2 linked regions of the Drosophila melanogaster genome follow. Each later gene encodes a partner of the first gene's protein in a complex. Each region holds a gene or a part of one and is shown in the gene's direction. Other genes may lie near its edges.

Evidence for each region. The genes of interacting proteins can lie anywhere in the genome.
Region 2: vir (region 1) and Flacc share a complex: the UniProt entries of both Drosophila melanogaster proteins name them as parts of the WMM complex.

Annotation. Positions count from the first base shown.
Region 1 is NT_033778.4:23,364,509-23,368,260, reverse strand, and holds the start of vir (virilizer), read left to right. Parts: upstream 1-1,905; 5' UTR 1,906-2,006; coding exon 2,007-2,072; intron 2,073-2,137; coding exon 2,138-2,814; intron 2,815-2,873; coding exon 2,874-3,752. Other genes in the region: Ice1 (uncharacterized protein), read right to left, coding at 1-1,157. UniProt on the Drosophila melanogaster protein: Associated component of the WMM complex, a complex that mediates N6-methyladenosine (m6A) methylation of mRNAs, a modification that plays a role in the efficiency of mRNA splicing and is required for sex determination.
Region 2 is NC_004354.4:18,891,573-18,895,324, reverse strand, and holds the start of Flacc (Fl(2)d-associated complex component), read left to right. Parts: upstream 1-1,688; 5' UTR 1,689-1,872; coding exon 1,873-2,566; intron 2,567-2,639; coding exon 2,640-3,282; intron 3,283-3,464; coding exon 3,465-3,752. Other genes in the region: SdhBL (succinate dehydrogenase, subunit B (iron-sulfur)-like), read right to left, coding at 1-300, 432-663. UniProt on the Drosophila melanogaster protein: Associated component of the WMM complex, a complex that mediates N6-methyladenosine (m6A) methylation of mRNAs, a modification that plays a role in the efficiency of mRNA splicing and is required for sex determination.

The DNA of each region.
Region 1 (3,752 bases):
ACCTGCCACAGCTCCTCGAAGGCCTGCGGCGGCAGATTGGTCAGGCAGCTTTGGTTTTGAGGTAGAAAGTTGAACAGCTCCTTGGCGAGCTCCCTGGAGGATCTGGCCTCCTCCTTTACACTATCCAGCATTGTTCGTGAGGGCGGCCTCGAGGCGGACACCTTTATTTGTGTCGGCAGGTCGGTAACGAAATCAATCTCGCGGTGTATATCACACAAAGTGGTACAGGTGGCCACACTCGCATTGGTCGGTACGTCCTCGAGCTGCAACTCCTGCTGCAGATCGCTCAGCGGACTCATGGGCTCAATTACGACATCATCTCGCCACGATAGCATTTCATCAAGTATCTGCCGAATATTTGGCAGGGGCTTTGGTTCGGGAAAGCATGTGCCCACATCGTGGTGCTTGATGAAGGAGGCTGTAGTGGTTCCCCGGGTGGTGGTGGTGTTCTTGTGTTGCGTGGCCTGGTTGCGCGTCTCTATCAGACCTTCCACTTGCACAGCAACAGAGCAAAGCGCGGGCTTGGGATCAGCGGGTTCCTCGTCGGTTTGCGTAGATTGGTTGACTCCGGGCTGATGGGCTTTCCGTTTGCTACGTGAATTCGGGCTCTTTGGCGTGGGCACGCTTACGTCTATAGTCTTGCAGTGCTCCCTTAGCTTCTTCATGATGTTCTGATCCCGCCGCAAAAGTCCACAATCGTCGCCCAGCCGCTGGGAGAACTGCATGAGTATGGACAGCACATCCTTGGCTTCCACGGGTAGTCCCCGCACTTGCAGCTGCTCCTGCAGATTCTCGCAGTTCCCAACCTGTACGTCCAGCTCCTTTTCCAGCTGTCCGCATCGCTCGCCGATCTGCTTGGTGCGCTTCTCCAGCTCGATCCTCTGTTGCTTCTCCTTCTGGTACAGATCCGTCACCTCTTGGGCGGTGCGCTGCAGGTCGGCCAGCTGTTTGTTTTGAGCCTGCAGCTGTTTCACCTGGCGGATCAGCTCGTCGTTCTGGGCTATTCGCTCGGCCAGCCGGCTTCGCTTGGCGTACACATCTTGGTTGCTCCTGGGCAGCGACACCTGCTTATACGGCGCCACCAGAGCATCTTGCAGCGGTGCGCTTGGGCCCAGAAGCTGATCTATATTGAAGTCGGAGAACTCGTCCAAATTCATGTTGCGCAGACTTGTTGTTGCTGGATTTCACGTGGTTGCGTGTTCAAGCGCCACTGCGGTTCTAGAACTTGCAGAAAACAAGGAGAATCCTCATTTTCCACACAATTCGCTAGTCGGTCACGAGTTGGACAATATTAAGCTGCGCATCTGGCGATTTAATACACAAAACAGAGAAATAAAACAAAATCCGCGTTTTTCTCTGCAGCCGGTCTCCAAAACATTTCCCTTATCGACAACCCAGCACGAGCCTATCGATATATATGGTATGGGACTATTTTATGGAACTCTTATAGGTCGTTCTCACTACTTCGTTTTTGATAGTTCACACTTTATTTATAATAAGAGGTTCGAATTATAGTTTGATAATATTGTAGAGGAAGTAAATTTTGAATTACTGATAATAACTAAATTTACATGATTTGCGTGCGTCCATTGAAGGGAAACAAATGTACTCTGAATCAGTGCGATTCCCTGCGTTAGGTTTAAGCCTATGGTTTTTAGGGCTATTTTACAATCTTTTAGAAAACATTGAGAGCATCATTACCAAAAATGGGGAATATTGAGAAAAAATCCAATTCATTTCTAGACATGAGCCAATTGTGACGTTAAAATTTGATGCATTGTTTTGCGCAAGCTACTAGACTGAGACAATTTTTGTTTAGTTTTTAAAGATGTATTCAACATATTCTAAAGCATACCCTCTTGAATACCCCTACCAATTGTAGTAGAGCAATTGATGATATCGATCACTTATCGTCTTAAGTTCCATCCCTAGCAGTTGCGGAAAATAAATAAAACTTCCGGACTGTAGAAGATTTTACTGAAAAAGACTCGATTTAAGCACACAACATGGCCGACGTAGACGACGGGTCCGAGCTGCTGTTCTTCGACACTTTCTCGCATGAGGAAGTGACGGTAAGTGCCTCCAGAAGCCCCCACTCGGTGCATTCGCTGAACCCCACTTCCTCCTCTCCTCATAGGACATCAATTTGGATTTGGTGCAGTTTCCCAAGCCGGTCTTCATCACACAGGTGCGGATCATTCCTCTCGGCGCCCGAGTCCAGGCAGACTTTCCCGGCGGCGTTCGCCTGGGCGCCACCAACCCCTCCAAGTTCGACCTGGAGTTCTTCGTCAATGACCTGGGAATGCCGGCTGCGTCGGCATTCGAGAACCTCGGCCTGCTGCGTTACAACCAGAACGACTGCATTCACTTGGATTGCTCGCAGGAGAAGATCGTCACCGACGGTCTGGTGCTGCGCGGCTGGTACAGCACCATCACACTGGCCATCTACGGCATTTTCACCAACTCGGTGACCGAGCCAATCGCCAGTCCAACGCTGCCCTGCGAGCCCGTGGGCCCGGAGATAGCCAACCTGAGTGGCGAGGTGCTCCTCCAGGAGGATGTGCTGAAAGACGAGTGGCAGGAGCCGATGCAGGCCGAACTGCTGACCGCTCACAAAGGAAATGTCAGCGATTACGATCCGGAGGACATGGAGTATGGAATGTCGCGGGATCATTACCACCAGCATGCCGAGGAGCAGGAGCAGCGAGAGATGCGACGACTGCGTCGGTCCACGCATTCCACGGATCACTCACCGCCACCGCCCAGAAGATCGCACACGCATTCGGAGAGCAACGACAGGGAGTACATCAGGTGGTAAGTGGTTATCTGTTTTATTTATTATATTCAGACTTATCACAGACCTTTCATTGCAGTTCCCGCGACAAGGGCTCCAGGGATTGGTCGCGTTCACCGGAGTATTCCAGCCATCGGTCACGTCGCAAGCGCTCCGAGAGATCTCGCTCCGTTGTGGACGAGCACAAGTGGCCCAGAACCCCGCCCGCGTCGATAGACTCACCGACACGTCCGCGTTCGCCAGACACGATGGACTACGAGGACGAGGACTCGCGCTCCCACTACAAGATGCAGTCATCTCACTACCGGCACTCCTCCGAGTCGCTGCACCGTGGTGAACGGGATCGGGACGATGAGGACCGATCGTGCACGCCGCAAGAGCAGTTTGAGCCCATTCTCAGTGACGACGAGATCATCGGCGACGACGAGGAGGACGACGCAGTGGATGCGGCTGCCATTGCGGAGTACGAGCGGGAGTTGGAGGCTGCTGCTGCCGCTGCTCCTCCGGCCATCGATGCTTTCGAGCCGTGGCAGAAGCCACTGTTGGTCTTTGAAGGGGACATGGCAGCCCACTTCTGCAAGGAGCTGGAAACTCTGAAGCTGCTCTTTAAGAAGCTGGTCCTGCAAACCCGCTGTGAGAATGTTAATGCCTTCAGCGAGGAACATGGCGCTAGTGTGGACGAAAGGGAGCAATTTGTGTACTTGGGTGAACAACTGAACAACCAATTGGGTTACCTAGCCCAGCACTACAAGCGGAGGAACTTTGTCCTGCAGCAGTTCTTCGGAAACGATGAGCTACATCTGCGACAGGCGGCTAACGTGCTGCAGATTGCCCTGAGTTTCCAGGCGGCATGCATGCAACCACAGCCAGCTTTTAAGATCCGCCACATCAAGCTGGGTGCGCGAATGGCTGAACTTCTGGGCAGTAGCGAAGAGCTCTTCCAGCACTTGTTGAAAGA
Region 2 (3,752 bases), on another chromosome or scaffold:
GTGCAGATTTAGCAGGCGGAGGAGGTGGTGGAGGTGGAGGCGTTGCTGGTGCGTTGCCCGAAGCTGGCTTTCCGGTGGACGCTCCTCCGGGCTTGGCGGATCCGGCGGCGGCGGCAGCTGCTCCTCCAGGCTTGGCGGCTCCGGCGGGGGCTGCTCCTCCGGGCTTGGCGGCTCCGGCGGGGGCTGCTCCTCCCGGCTTGGCGGCTCCGGCGGGGGCTGCTCCTCCGGAGTACTGTCGTTTTGTGGCGATTCCTCCGGCGGCTGATCCTCCGGTGGCTGATCCTCTGAGCCCTCTTCCTCCTTTAATGAATATAGAAATTTCAGTTAAGCATATCAATAAGTGCAGGTGTCATTTATGAAATGTCATTATGACAAAGTCATTGACAACCCAGAAAATTGTGGAATCAGAAAACTTTTCACTTAGAACTAACCTGCTCCTTGTCCACCTCCTTGGAGGCTGGAGTGGGTGCACCGGGGTACCAGGGATACGGCGGATACTGGGGTGGCGGCAGCCAGCGCTGGTCCGGGTATCGATAGGGTGGACATAGGCGCCGCAGGACGGGAAACGGGTTCGGACACATCCCTGTTGGCCAACACGTAATTTCTAAACAGCCACGTGCTCCGTTTATTCAGCAGCCGAGGCTGCCGGCGCAACAAATTCATCGGTTTTCGAGCGAATGAATGAGACTTTAAGTTAAAATGTGTACTTATAAAAATATATGTGTTTTTTTTTTTTTTTTGTTGAGAGAGAATGTGTGCCGAGGCGATGAGGTGTTGAGGTGTTGAGGTGTTGAAGTGTCGAACTGTGTAGCAAAACTGAGGAGAAGCCGGTGAAGTGCCCGTAATACGACTTGACACTAGAGGCATAGCCAGCTGGATTTGAAAATCTTTTCGAAATGAAAAGTTCAGTTTAACTGAGTAGTAGAACAGGCTGCTTTATACAATGTTTTGGATGCGTGGAATTTAAATCAACTAAAGAGAGTTCCTCGACTATAAGATACCCGTTACTCAGCTAGTGGATGTGAGAACGCGAAATTTTATCATTTTCTGGGCAAATCGATAGAAATTTACAAGATTAATAAAAATGCGAAAAAAGATCAACAAACTTGCGCTACGTCTTTGTCTCTAGAATCTGTATGCTGGATCTCAACCTTCTAGGTACGGACATGGCGGACAGACGGACATGACTAGATCGACTCCTGATCAAGAATATATATACTGTACATGGTCGGAAACGCCTTCTTCTGACTGCTACATACTTTTCAACAAATTTAGGGTACCCTTTTACTCTTCGAGTAACGGGTATAAAAATGGATAACAAGTCAGATTTGAATCCCCGTTGCTGAACCGGTAAATTGATATAGAAATTGTAATTCAATCCAAAACCGAACTCATTTTAAGCAGAAATTGTTACAAAAATACAATATATTAATATAAATACAAGTATTAATTAATATTATTAATTTTAATAATATTTTTAATGTTAAATTAATATTTATTTATAGTTAAAGGCACTTAATTATTTAATTATATTTTATTATAATAATGTGATACAATAATAAACAATATTTTCAAACTTATACCGATCGATATGTACCGCCGTGCTGACTGTAATCGATGGTCGCGATGCCCTGCCAATCGACTATCGATAACAACAAACACGAAGATATAGAGGAAAATAGAGAAGAAGAAGAGTTAAAGAAAACGCCAACAAAATAGACAACAAGGCAAGTCCGCGCCTCCGAACAAGGACATTATACCACAAGACACGCTGCAACTAGTTATAAGCCGCATAGCCGTGCTGATTTTCGACCGGAGTACGAAAAGAAAGCAGCCAAAACGGAGGCGCGCAGGCTAGCGGAGATCGCGGCGATGGAGAAGAAGGCCAAGGAGTCGCTGCGCCGCTACAAGAAGGCCGCCCGTCACAGTGCGACGCACTCGAGCAGCTCGGACTCCACCTCGGACTCCGACAGCGGGAGCAGCTCGTACAGCAGCACGGACAGCGAGCAGGGCGTGGGCGGCGTCGGCGTGGGGGTGGGCGTACCTGGTGGCGCCGGTGGTCCCGGCGGCAGTGGCAGCGTCCACGGTCATCCCCATACCCACGGCCATGGGCATCATCCGCGCTCCGCGGAGCGTCATCATCGCAAAAAGAAGAGCTCACGGCGCGGCGGCAGCTCGTCCGGAGATGAACCATCGTCGTCGCGCCGCAAGCGAGACAAACGGGATCATGTGCAAAAGAAGCTGGTGGCCAAGCGAAATCATATCAAACGGAAACTGAAGGAAGCGCGCCTTAAGAAACGGGCGGCCGCCGCCCTCAGTGGTCACGTCCATCGTTCCCTGTCGCCGACGACGCGAGCCAAGCTAAAGAAGCTGGCCGAGCGAAAGAGGCTACGGGCTGCCAGCAAGGAGCAACGGGAGCGGGACAAGCTGCGCGTCGTCCAACGAGACAGAGAGCGAGACCATCATCGATTGGGCAGCAGTAGGAGTCCGCCGAGCAGCAGCACTACCACCACCACCAAGATTCGCATCCATCAGGACATCGTGGGTAAGCGGCAAAAGAGTCCAGGTAACTATCAGATACTACATATAGTTATGTCTAGGCTCAACCCACTAACCCATTAATTTTGCTTGACTTTAAGGTTTAGGTTCTGGTCTTGGAGGCGGCAGCAGCAGCTCATCCTCGCGAATGCATCACCAACTGATGTCGCGAGAGAAGATCATCATCCAGACCCGCGCACGTGGACGTACTCCGTCCCTGGAACGGGAGCGGGAAAGGGAGCGCGAGCGAGAACGAGAAAGAGAGCGCGAACGCCACGATCTCTCATTGCGGGAGCGAGATCGTCGGGATCGGGAGCGCGAGCGTGCGGAACGGGAGGCAGCCAGGGATAAGGAGCGCGCTGAGGCCTTGGCTCGCTGCCAAGAACGTCAACGGGAGCGGGAACGCTTGGCTCGCGAAAAGTTGCGTCGTCAGGAGGAAGAGGAAGGTGGTAAACGCGGTGGTCCCGGTCGAGACTTGGATCTTCCGCCGTATGGCAGCCGGGAGCGATCGCTGGACACCGTCGAAAGGGAACGAGAGCGCGAACGGAGCGGGCGTCATGTCCGCGATAAGCGCGAGTTGGATCCCTACGAGCGTGAGCAAGAGTATCTGGAGGAACGACACGGCCACGGGCTGATCGACGAGATGCGAAGGTATCGGCGCAGGGACCTCAGTCCCATGCCTGAGCATTATGCACCCAGACTGCGGGATCCGCGGGAACTGTACTCCGAGGAGGAGCGGGAGAGGTAGGTTTAGGTTCTGCACTTAACTATTCCACGAAAAGCTGAAACTGTACCATTTTGGTTACTTTTTTCTGTTACCTAGAACATAGTTAACTAGGTAGCAGAACGGGAACCTTTTCTCATTAATGTTTATGGCCACGAAATCGGCATTAGCTAATCCGCTGTTTGGGAATTCCTTATTTTAGAGCCTACAAACGCGCCTATCTAGATGCCCGCTATTCCTCGCGGGAACGAGAAGCCTGGCTGGAGGCACGCGAGTTGCGGGAACGAGAGCTGCAAGGACGCGAGTACCGTGACCTCGAAACGGAAGACACCCTCTATCCGGACGAGCGGGAACGTCTAATCCGGGACAGGGAGCGTGATCGGGAACGAGAACGTGACCGCGAAAGGGAACGTAATATTGGACCCCGTGGCGACTTCCGACCGGAGTGGGAACGCGAGTGGGAGGAGGAGGGAGCTGGTGGCGGCCCAGG